Rattus norvegicus: one gene and its partners. The protein of the gene in region 1 purifies or fractionates together with the protein of each later gene. This does not show direct contact. Links are inferred from orthologs where the notes say so. Each region holds a gene or a part of one and is shown in the gene's direction. Other genes may lie near its edges. The genes, in order: Tctn2, Tctn3 and Tmem231.

Region 1 (3,632 bases):
ATGTGCACGGAAAGCAGAGTCATGAGTGCTAAGAACCAGGGAGGCACTCTTGGGACCTGGAGAGTTCTATACGGGAAAATTTGAAAGTAAATCTGGGGCTGAGATGTGGTTCCGCCTAGTGTCTAGAGTGTGGAGAGCTGTGGGTTTGAACCCTAGCACCAACTTCCTAAATCCTAAAACAGTCAAAAAAAAAAAAAAATCAGGAGGTGTCCTGAGAGAGTGGGGATGATCACACAGCTCAGAATTGTTCACCAAGGGGACTGCCAGGGACTGGGGCTGTGGCTCTAAGAAAGAGCGCTTGCCTGGCATGTGTGAGCCCAGGGTTTGGTTATGTTATTGTAGTGCACCCAACCAGCAAATTGCTTATTTATCTAACCCATAGAAACTAAAGATGCTCAGATGAGTTTTAAATGTCTTTTTTTTATATGACTTCTCTTAGGGCATAAATGTCTGGCATCGTCTGGTAACCATTTACCAGGGTTCTCTACTGTCCCTGTCGGCACACTCTGTGGCTTTCAGTGACAAGCTTAGATACTGAATCTTTTATTTTTCTTTTTGAGGAAAAGATGTATTTGTGTGTGTGTGTGTGTGTGTGTGTGTGTGTGTGTGTGTGTGTGTGTGAAAGTTTATACCATGTGTGTGTGGGCGCCCTTGGAAGACAGAAATGGGCATCAGATCCCCTGGAGGACGGGTTACAGGTGAACGACCATGTTGGTGCTGGGAGCTGCCTCTGGGTCCTCCATAAGAGTGGCAAGTGCTCTTCAATCCTGAGACGTCTCTGCAGCCCCAGACACTGAATCTCCACGTTTGGGTTTATTCTGTGGGTTGGGACCACGTTCAATGCACAGGGACATTTAGACACCACCCAGGTGAGCAGCACTGCTCCTGCCGTAGATGTTGTGAGGTCACATAGTCATGGAGTGACAACACCCTTGCAAGAGAGTTGAGCCTCAGGCCTGAGAGGCTTTGGGTATCATGGCTGACACGTGGGACAGCCGCCACTAACAGATGTCTAATTTGACATTCCTGCAGGCGTCGACGCCCCTGATGCAGGCGCCGACCTGCCTCTGAGCAGCGCAAATGGCATGTGCCCGGAAGTTCCAACCCACGTCACCATCCGCATCCTCACTGCTGAGGCTGGCGCTGTGGAAGGGGAGGCTCAGCGGGAGATCCTGGCTGTGGAGACAAGGTGTGGTCCCTTCCCGAGAGTCGCTGAGGTGGAGAGCAGGACACAGACCAGGAATGCCAGGCAGAAATCCGCACACATGGCGATCATTAATAGCTGGGGCTGTATAAATGGAGGGCCCTCGGGAGTATTTGTAAAGCTCTGTATGAGAGCTTTTGCGGTGTCAGGGGAGGGCCACGGCTGACAAGGGACTGCTCCGTTCTGAGGGTATTTAACTCTATGGGCCTGAGTGGCATATTGGCGACAGAACGTGGCCACTGGTTGGAGGCTTTGCCGGCACCATAGGTTCCGATCATGGAACCGTGTGTGACTTCAGACAGTTTAATATGCAATAGCTTTATCTAAGGAAATATGACACCCTTGTGCATTGCGTCTTTACCTCATGTGACAGGTTCCACTTAGCAAAAAGTGGTGGGTGCTATTCAGTTTGGGAGAGTCCCCATGCCTGCAAGGTCAGAGAGGGTCTCTTTCTGGTTACCCCCAGCTCACCTTGTCCTGGGACTGTCTTCATACTCAGGGGCATCCTCCTTGGTCCTGTGAGGTCAGCACCAGCCTCGCCTCGCCTGGGCTTAGTAAAGAGAGGCCTTCTTGTCTACAGAGCCTTTTTCTGTTGTTGTTCGCTGGGTCATGGGTTCCTTTTGGAGCCATTCACTATGGTCTGAACTATCAATAGCTCTAGCATGCAGGCTCTGGATCCGGGCTGGTGTCTTCTGACCCACTGAACAGAGAGCAGGGAGTGATGTGTCCCGCCCACACACACACAGCCACACCCCCACCGCCACCCCCCGCAAAGTTGGGGAGCAGTTACTAGAATTTGAGAAGCTGTGCTGATTTCCCATCAGACCCACTTCAGTGTCGGGGTAGAGCCAAGGTCTCCTTTGCTAAGCAACTTCCCGTTCCGCAGTACTGTTTTGCGGTGCCACGGGCATGGCACGCCTTCGATAAATGACCAGAGGCTCTTCCTATTAGACTGCTGGAGACAAGCAATCCTTGTTAAGAGAACCCGCATACAGTGACTTGGGCGAGAGGAGGGAGCTGGCTGCAGCAGCCAGTGATCGGAACAAGGACTTGTAGATTCTGGGTCTAGACTTGAGGATCCAGCACTTGGCTTCCTAGACTTTCAGTGGTTGGTGGCCACTACCTCACAATCGTCCTTTCTTAGGTTCTCCACAGTAACCTGGCAGTACCAATGTGGGCTCACCTGTGAGGAGGACAAAGCCGACCTTCTCCCCCTCAGTGCCTCTGTTAAGTTCATTAACATCCCTGCGCAGATGCCCCGCCCGACCAGGTAAGCCAATGGCTGACAGGCTCACAGGTTCTTTCCTGCGCAGACGCCCCGCCCACAACCAGATAAGCCAATGGCTGACAGGCTCGCAGGTTCCTTCCTGCTTCTTTCTAGTTTTCCCTGTAACCCTCTCACGTGTTTGTGTAGATTCCAGATCAACTTCACAGAGTACGATTGTACCCGGAATGAGCTGTGCTGGCCCCAACTTCTGTACCCTCTGACCCAATATTATCAAGGTAGGAAGCCAGGTTTCTGTATGTTGTAAGTTACGTTGTGCCGGTTAAAACTGTTTACCAGTCAATGTGGAAATGTCCCAGACAACTTAAAGCACGAAAGACTTAAAAGAAGAAACCACACTAATACCGATGTTTAGAAGTTACGGTTATGATGCTTAGAAATTATGATAACAATAAATGGTTAACACTAAACTATTACCTTCAAAGTCAAGACATGATAAGACTCAGTTGTTGGGGTGGGGGTTGTCCCCGGCAAGTGTCATAGTTGGCAGGGAAATAAGCCACAAAGAAATGAGAATGAGTGAAAACTCAGTTCAGCCCGACTTAACCCATCCAGGCTGGGTCAAACTTCAGGAGTCTGATGTCAGGTGTTTTATTGCCAACATATTTAAACACAGTACAGTTTGGGGGAAAGTTTCCTGGTGTAATCCAATCCCTAGTACACAGGGGGCGTGGTTAACATCGAAACACAACTCAGAGTCCTTTCTTCCAAGAATGGTTCTCTGGATAGACTACCTGTGTTAGCTTACGAGTCTAAGGAAGGATCTGGCCTGGTCTCAGTCATATAGTTAGTGTAGAGGTCATGTGGGTTGTTAGGCTGCGCGCTACCTCTGGTCCTGGTTGTGAGAGCCTGCAGGAGCCCTTGGTGATACAGATAACATAAGGTCATTTAGATTGTGAGCTACCTCTGGTCCTGGTTGTGGGGTCTTGATAGGGCCTGGCCCAACAGATACTGCAGATCACCAGACTGTTACCCACCCCCATTCTTACCCTTCTATATGGAAAAGCAGGTTGCATGTCCTTTCCGTTCCTGGCCTCCCTGGTGATCTGTGGGCACAAGGACCTTCATGCTTTTAATGATTGCCTTCTGCTGCCTTTCAGGGGAGCCCCGGCCTCAGTGTGTCGCCAAAGGCCTGATGCTGCT
Region 2 (4,318 bases), on another chromosome or scaffold:
TCTAGAGAGTGCCACAAAACTTAATGGTAAAATGGTAAAAACAAACAAACAAACAAACAAACAAAAACAAAACAAAACAAAACAAAACAAAAAACCAGCAATAAGTTTTCTTCTTGGTTCCTTGGCTATTTCCACCTCTGAGTCTTGACTTTTGCCTCAGAAAATGTAACTTCCTCTAAGTCCTCAAATTCTTTCCCATCCTGTTTTCTTGTACTGAACCTCTCCCCTTACTACTTTCTAGCAACAAATGTACAGATCACCTTTATTGATATGATCCACTATGCCGGCACGCGTAAGAGACGTGACTTTCTATGTGTTTTTCTCCTTGAAATCACGGTCTTTCCACAAAAAGGGTCTCTTACCTTGGGAAGACCGATTGAAAGACACAAGCATTTTTTTTTTAAATAACATTTAAGTTGATAGAGTGTTTGCCAGGTGTGCATGAAGCCAAGGCCGTGAGTTTGACCTCCAAGATGTTGTGATGGCCTATATGATTGAAATTCTAGACCCAGGAAGATCAGAAAATCATTCTTGGCAACATCTTGAGTCTGAGGTTCAGCCTGGGCTACATGAAACTGTCATGGAGTTGAAATAAGCATTGTTTTACTGTGCTTTTTAAAAATACCATAGTATTACAGTGGAGAGATTTTTTTAAACTTTCTTTTAGATTTTATACATAGGAGTGTTTTGCCTGCATGTGTCTGTGTACCTGTCTGTGAGTGTCTGATGCCGCCTACTGAGGCCAGAGATGGCACAGGCAATGGATCCCTTGGAAATGGAGTTGCAGAAAGTTGTGAGACACCCTGTGGGTTCTGGGAGGCGAACCCCAGTTCTTGGACAGAACAAATATTCTTAACAGCTGAGCCATCTCTCAAGCCTCTATCATGGGGACTTTGTTCATTTGTCTTTGTTTTAGGGAACAGTCTCTCACTCAGTAGCCGAGGTTGGCCCAAACTCGTGATCCTGCTTGAGTCTAGGGAGTAACGAGGGCGATCCGGTACTCAGTTTCCCGGCACGCGTAAGAGATGTGACTTTCTATGTGTTTTTCTCCTTGAAATCACGGTCTTTCCACAGAAAGGGTCTCTTACCTTGGGAAGACCGATCAAAAGACACAAGTAATTCCAGTTCTTGCCTCTGGGTCTTCCCCTCAGCAAAGACTTCACTCAATTCCTCCAGGTCCGTAAAGGGCACCAACCTGATGCCAGCTGCCATCTAGCGGCAGAATAGGGCAAAGACGCCTTAGCCCCAGGGGCTCCCAGCGGTTGCCAGGTAACGGGAGCGGCGCGCCGCTAAGGAGGAGAGCGCAGCAAGAAGGACGCGCCGGGTCGTAACAACACGGTCTTCCATTGGCTGAAGAGCACACGGCTCCCGCTTGAGCCAATGCACAGATGGAAGCTGATGACGTCATCTCCGACTCCTCACCCCTGGGCTCTAGGATCTATCTGGAGACTCGGGCTCCTGTCGCACCCCTCTGCGGCCCGGCTGCCTTATGTGCACTCCGCAGCTGCTGCTGCTGCTGCTGCTGCTGCTGCTAGTGGGCCTGATGCTTTCTGACGCCGCCCGGCCGCAGCCCTCCTCCACAGCCCGGGCTCTGCCTACCTCCTGGGTCCTGGGGCCAGTGACGCCCGAAGTACCAACTACAGCGCCTCCAGACTTGTCTGAGAGTCCTACCCCCTGGACACTATCGATGCCCGAGAACGCGACCACCGACCCCTTCCCAGGTGATGCGGCGGGATACGGGATGGAAATACTGACTTCTCGGATCTAAAATTGTGTAGACAATATTGCTTCGCTACGTAGCTTGCAATGGGGCTATCCGCGAGGGAAAACTTTGGGGAGCTTCACCTCGCTTTGCCTCTTTCACTTATAGCCTTATCGATCTGTGTCTGTGACTTGACTCCTGGTACCTGCGATTTAAACTGCTGCTGCGATAAGGACTGCGATCTTCTCCATCCCAGAACAGTCTTTTCCTTCTGCCTTCCTGGTAGTGTAAGGTGAGCTGTGCTCTGGCTGAGAAGTAAGAGTGAGTTTCCTACCCCCAGATCCCCGCGTAAAATATTCCCTTGGGCTTTCCCGGGAGTGCTGAGCCATCCAGTAAAACATTACCCGGAATGTTGTACCTCTGCCCACAGACCCCCTTAGTGGCCTCAGACATTGGTAGGGTAGGGCCCCTTCCCTAACCGTACTCCACGCCCCTCCTCAGTATCTTCAACTTTCCTCACAGATCTTCAAGTTGGGTATGTGTGGACAACTCCCTGGTCTTCAGGAGCAACTCCCCATTTCCTTCCAGAGTTTTCACGGACTCCAGTGGAATCACACAATTTTGCGTCCGTGTGAACAACTGTGAGTAGAAACAAGTTTGGCCGCTCTTGTCATTTAACGTTTATTACGACGTGACTCTGTCTTTGGAGTTCTCCTGTCCTCCAAATCCCTATGTTACGACTACCCTCTTCCTTTCATTAGTAATTTCAGAAACCTCCAGTGACTCTCCACCACCTTTAAAATACTGCTCAGCAACTCTAGCCTGGCAATCAGCATTGATTGATTGATCGATGGATGATTGATTGATTGATTGATTGATTTCTCTTGCAAGCTTTTCTCTAATGATTTTATACTGCTCTTTTCTTTTGGACAAATTCATGTTCCTTGTCCTTAAGCTATGCCTTAAATTTCTCCTAAATTTCTTTCTTCTTACATTGGGAACATCTTACCTCTCCTAAGAATCTAATGTCATCTGCCCAAGTGAGCCCGTCCTGGGAAGTTGGAAGTTCTGAGACAGTCCTTTAGAATTTGCAGAGTTCTTTGTATGGTTGTAAGTTTATGTGAATATTATGACTTCCTCCAGATATCAAACTATCAGCCCCTTAAAAGGACAAGCTGTGGGAGTAGAGAAATGGCTTAGCACTTAAGAGCACTGGCTGTTCTTCCAGAGGACCCAGGTTCAATTCCCAGCACCCACATGGCAGCTCACAACTGACTGTAACTCCAACTCCAGGGGATCTGACACCCTCATACAGACATACATAGAAGCAAAACACCAATGCACATAAAATAAAAATAAATAAGTCACTTTAGAAAAGGGCAAACTGTATTTATTCACAGTGGATAAAATGTCTTGATAATGATCATGGAGGGTTGGGGGGAAGTGTTCTATTTCTAACAGGGTCTCTACAGCACGGTGGGGTGGGAAAACTGCAGACCAGCAAGTAGGGGACTGGGGATCTGCTCCTGGTTTTGCTAGCTTACTCTGAGGTCTTTGCAACAACCTTGCCTCAGAGGATCCAAATTTCCTAATGGGAGTGGATGAGATGGTCTGTAGGCTTCTTTTCACATCCAGTTCTATCAGAGTTTGCACTACACTACCTTTAAATTGTTGGCTGATGGTAGGCCATGTGCGACCGTGACACTAATGAGAACATTTATGTATTTGTATATGAATTCGTATATGAATAATATACATGTGTATATGTATGGCCTCACCGTGTATGTCTTGTGTGCTTTTGTCCTTATCACTACGTCAGCCAATACACCTGTACTGAGATGAGGGGTCGTGTGGCAACTCGCTCTTCCTGAGAAAAGCTACGGAAAGGATCCACAGCTACTGACTCCTGAACTCAGCTCCTCTCTCTAGTTCACTTAACTCTTGCCTGCAAAGCTAGCCGTAACGGGATTTGATAGGAGGCCAGTAGCCTTTCTGTGCAGTTTCTGTGAGGAAGCTGCAGAGCTGGGAGCCTCAGCTCCTAAAGATGGAGGAGAGGTGGTATGCAGTCTGGATGCCAGCATACCTGTGCCCGAGCAGGACTTTGTTCTGTAAAGACTTCACTTATTTCCCATGTGGAAGGAGTAGGCACACGCACGCGTGTGACATGAACACACGCCATAGGACACGTGTGGAGATGGAAGGACAGACAGCCTATCAGAATCCATTCCCTTCTTCCAGGACGTAGGTCCCAGTTCAGGTCATTGTCAGTCTCGGTGGCTATTGCCTTGACCAGCCGAGTCATCTTAGAGTTCTTTCTTAAACTCATCGGATGTTCATCTGCATGTGATAAAATGTGTGTGTTGTGCTTCAAAGGTTGTTTCTTATGCCAGATACTTAAAATGAAATTTTTTTAAATCTAAGTTTCTGTTCTTTTTTTTTTTTTTTTTTTGTAAATTGTAGCAAAATCAAACTATTTCCAGGAGCTCCAAACAGTCAATGCAACCAACTTCCAGGCCCTGGCTGCAGAGTTTGGAGGCCAGTTCTTCACGTCAACACCGAAAACCCAGCCGCCAGGGCCATTCTATAGGGTGAGCCTGGGGAAGGGGGTGGGGTAAT
Region 3 (4,145 bases), on another chromosome or scaffold:
AACTCCTTTATTTTAACTTTATGTGTATGGGTGTTTTGCCTGCGTGTATGTCTATATACCATGTGTACCATATGTATGCAGTGCCCACAGAAGTTGTTGGATCCCTTGTGACTGGAGTTACAATTGGCTATGAGTCACCATGTGGGTGCTGAAAGTCAAACCTAGATCCTCTGGAAAACGGGCCATTCTCTCCAGCTTACTTACATGTTATAACATTTATTTAGTATTTATGTAATATTCAGATAAGCACCATGACAGGCCTGTACAGGTCAGAGGACGGCCTTTCCAGAATTAAGAGATATAATTGGTGGGCGCCGGAGAGAAGACCCAGGGGTTAAGAGCTCTGACTGTTCTTGCTGAGGACCTGGAGAAAGAATCAACGGCCAGCACAGTCTCCATGGTAAGACCCTACTTCAAAACAGATAAAATCTGTCTTTCACGTTAAGATATTCCTGTTAGTAGTTACCTAAGTGATTCGCTAATGCTAACTTTGAGGAAGACAATATCAGCGTTTATACCTAAGTACACCAGAAGGAGCCGTGTAGTAAATTACCCTCAAACCTTTGAAGAACCAAGGGATTTGTTTCTCGTTTTCTATCTTTTCTGCTACGGGGCAAAGTGAAAGCACTAACTTTGAAGGCAAAAGTACCTGGTTCTAGGACTGTGGCCCTTTTATAAGAGTGGGGGGGGGCGTTGGGGGGGTTGGGGATTTAGCTCAGCGGTAGAGCGCTTGCCTAGCAAGCGCAAGGCCCTGGGTTCGGTCCCCAGCTCCAAAAAAAAAAGAAAGAAAAAAAAAAAGAGTGGCCGGACTTCAGTATGAACCATACTGGAGTTTTTCCATTGAGATACAGTCCCGCATATCTCCGGCTGGTCTCTAACTCAGTGTCGCTAAAGATGACTTTGGACTTCCGGTCCTCCTACCTCCATCTCAAGAGTTGCTAGTATTACAGATGCGGGTCACCATGCCGGGTTTAATGAAGTGCTGGGTATGAACTCAGGGCTTCCTGCATGGTAAGCTAGCTAGCCTTTTACCAACTAAGCTATATCAACCATCCTATGTTGTGAGTTAATAGATGACCTATGGGGAGATGTCAACATCTATGCACATCTGATTTTGTACAACTGACACAGACTTTGGTGAGTGGAAATGTTGTTTCTGTTGCTTTCTTGAAGGGACCCACGGGAACCGAATCAAAATGCATGTACTAACTAACACAGAAACCTCCTCCCGCTAGCTCCACCCCTTACTAAAGGCCTGCGTGCCTGCTATTGGTTCCTCTGCCCGCCGTCGGTTGCCGTGGAGACTCCGCGCTGCGGCCCTGGGCTCATGGCGCTGTACCATCTCTTCTCTCACCCGATCGAGCGCGCCTACCGCGCGGGGCTCTGCTCCAAGGCCGCTCTCTTCCTGCTGCTGGCCACCGCGCTCACCTACATCCCCCCGTTGCTGGTGGCCTTCCGGAGCCACGGTAAGCCTGCCTGGGTCTGGAGGGCCACTCGGTTCGGCGCGGCCCGCGGGCCCAGGCCGGCTATCCTGACCCGGCTCCCCCAACACGCCTTGTCTCCCGCAGGGTTTTGGCTGAAGCGCAGCAACTACGAGGAGCAGCCGAACGTGCGCTTCCAGCACCAAGTGCTGCTGGTGGCTCTACTGGGGCCCGAGCCGGGAGCCTTCCTCGCCTGGAGCACGTACCCCACTTTCAACCGGCTGCAGGGGGTTCACCTGCGCGTTCCGCTCGTGTCGGTGCGTGGTTCCCGCCCGGACCCTGGGGGGAAAGCATGGGGTGAGATCCCAGTTGGGTCATTTGACGGGCTGTGGGGGCAGTCTCATGTATCCCAGGCTGGCCTTAAACTATATAGCCGAAGTCGTTCTTCAACAACTGATCCTCCGGCCTCCACCTTCCCAGGGCCAGGAATTTCTGCTATGCAACGCCGTGCTGGGGGTTGTGGGGTGCTGGGAATCAAACCCAGGGCTTTTTGCTTGCATGCGAGCACTTTACCACTGAGCCAATGCTCAGTCCCACAGCTTGGATCTCAAGGATCCACCGGGGTTGGAAACAAAGTCTCTTTGGCCCGCGCATGCTTAACTTTTTAGATAGTTTTACTCAGCTTCTTGAGGTGTCCCCAGACAATCAACCATGCAGGCGGTATGTTTGGTGGATTTGAGTCCAGAAGCCAGAGCACTGCCTGTCTCTGGTGCTGGTCACTTCTGAATGAAAAAGTGGCTGTGAAAACCCTTTTAAGGGCTTGAAGGCCGGGTTCTGTAGACGCCAGGATGTCGCTGAATTTGAACATCACCAGGCTGTAAAGACAGAAAGTGCCCGCATTTTTTATGCAGACTGGACGTAGGGTAGGGAAAGCGCTGATTGGTTGAATTCTCGACTCCGGCTCTGGCCAAGCCACGCCTGTCTGGGTTAGGCTCCTAACTGGGTTCCACACTGCAGCTGTCTCCTATGAAACTGGAACATTTTACTGTCTGCAGTTTAGTGTTTGCTTTCGCATAAATCAAATGCTTCCTTACATTTCCTTTAGTCGTATGGGACATCTGGCTTTCCTACATTCAAATGTGGATCCATTCGGACAGGTCTGATTATTAGCCTAGAAGGCAAACTCCTGTAGCTGAAGGGGCGGGTGCGTGGCAGGGGTGTCAGACTTTCTCCCCACAACAGGTAAATAAGATAGCAATATGCAAAATCTAATTCAGATTACTTGGTTCTCATATATATATATATATATATATATATATATATATATATATATATGTATAATTATTTTTTTCCTTATCACAAACCTGTTGACAGAAAAGTGAAGGCTCACTGTGGTTGGTATATGTATCAGTACTTGTTAACCAACCGAGTTTGTTAGTTTTAAGATCTGTAGCTTATTCAATGACATGAGCAGAGTGATGAATTTAAATTGCCCCTCCCCTACGTACACAGCAAGCTCAAGGCTATTCTGTGTCAAAAGCCGGAGCCCTGGCTCCTGAAGTCAGAGGCACAACATGGAAGGGGTCGGTTCCCTCCTGTCACTCTCCCAGGGATCCAGCTCAGATTCCCAGGGTTGGCTGCAAGGGTCTTTACCTGCTGAGTTATCTCATTACCCACCCTTACTCCTTGATGTGTTTTTTTAAAATTTTGCCCCAATTATTTTTATTATTAAAATTATTGTATGAATTAAAGCTTTTAACTAAATCTTACGGCTTTTTTATTCTTTTGTTTGTTTTTTTCTTTTTTTTTTTTTTGTTTGTTTTTTCTTTTTTTCGGAGCTGGGGACCGAACTCAGGGCCTTGCACATGCTAGGCAAGCGCTCTACCACTGAGCTAAATCCCCAACCCCGGCTTTTTTATTCTTTTTGAGATGGCTTATTGCCTTGCTTGTTGCCTGCCCAAGCTGGCTTTGGCTGAAGCAGTAAGTCCCGTTCAGCCCCCTAAGAAGCTGGGACAACAGACGAGTACCACATGCCCAGACTTATGTCATACACCTCTGAATGCCAGCGGAAGCTTTTTGTTGAAATTTCATGCACATAGAGAAAACAAAGCAAGCAAAGAAAACAATTATTTCCTGCAGGGAAATAAACCTCGCGAAGAAGCAAGGAAGGAGATGCAGTCAGGGTTGCGAACAGGACTTGCATAGTCATCGTCTTAGACAGAATGCTGACTAAGCAAAATGTGCATCTAGGGAAACTGAAGGGATCAGGGGAGCGGGGAGATGCCATGGGGTCTGGTGGGAAGGGGAGGAAAACGAAGGCTCCGGCCTTCCCCTGTGGAATGTCGGTAGAGAATACTCAGAAACAGAAGTAGACTCTCAGCAAATCTTATTAAAAACATCGGGAAACAGAAGTAGACTCGCAGCAAATCTTATTAAAAACATCGGGAGAGTGCTTCTTTGTTTTCGTTTTTCCGAACAGGGTTTCTCTTTGTATCCGTGGTTGTCCAGGAACTTGCTCTGTAGACCAGGTTGGCCGCGAACTCAGCAATGCCCCTGCCTCAGTCTCCCCGGTGCTGGGATTAAAGGCATGTGCCACCATCACCCAGCCTGGGGAGCAGTTCTAACACAGTCATTAGGTAACTGGGGCATAAGTGTTTGCTTTGGATGTTAATTGTTTTTTTTTGTTTTGTTTTGTTTTTTTGTTTTTTGTTTTTTTTTTGTTTT

What was found.
Region 2: the proteins of Tctn2 (region 1) and Tctn3 purify together in Homo sapiens (affinity purification with mass spectrometry; 3 studies listed by BioGRID and IntAct, with this or other methods). This does not show direct contact. The link is inferred for Rattus norvegicus from reciprocal best matches to the Homo sapiens genes TCTN2 and TCTN3.
Region 3: the proteins of Tctn2 (region 1) and Tmem231 purify together in Homo sapiens (affinity purification with mass spectrometry; 3 studies listed by BioGRID and IntAct, counting the BioPlex papers as one, with this or other methods). This does not show direct contact. The link is inferred for Rattus norvegicus from reciprocal best matches to the Homo sapiens genes TCTN2 and TMEM231.

The regions. Positions count from the first base shown.
Region 1 is NC_086030.1:37,644,021-37,647,652, reverse strand, and holds part of Tctn2 (tectonic-2 precursor), read left to right. Parts: intron 1-796; exon of another isoform or gene 797-1,032; coding exon 1,033-1,189; exon of another isoform or gene 1,190-1,904; intron 1,905-1,994; exon of another isoform or gene 1,995-2,348; coding exon 2,349-2,474; intron 2,475-2,618; coding exon 2,619-2,707; intron 2,708-3,589; coding exon 3,590-3,632.
Region 2 is NC_086019.1:249,371,814-249,376,131, reverse strand, and holds the start of Tctn3 (tectonic-3 precursor), read left to right. Parts: upstream 1-1,433; 5' UTR 1,434-1,489; coding exon 1,490-1,721; intron 1,722-1,870; coding exon 1,871-1,994; intron 1,995-2,224; coding exon 2,225-2,343; intron 2,344-4,162; coding exon 4,163-4,290; intron 4,291-4,318. Other genes in the region: Entpd1 (ectonucleoside triphosphate diphosphohydrolase 1), read right to left, coding at 1,089-1,212.
Region 3 is NC_086037.1:56,810,687-56,814,831, reverse strand, and holds the start of Tmem231 (transmembrane protein 231), read left to right. Parts: upstream 1-1,316; 5' UTR 1,317-1,327; coding exon 1,328-1,466; intron 1,467-1,568; coding exon 1,569-1,738; intron 1,739-4,145. UniProt on the Homo sapiens protein: Transmembrane component of the tectonic-like complex, a complex localized at the transition zone of primary cilia and acting as a barrier that prevents diffusion of transmembrane proteins between the cilia and plasma membranes.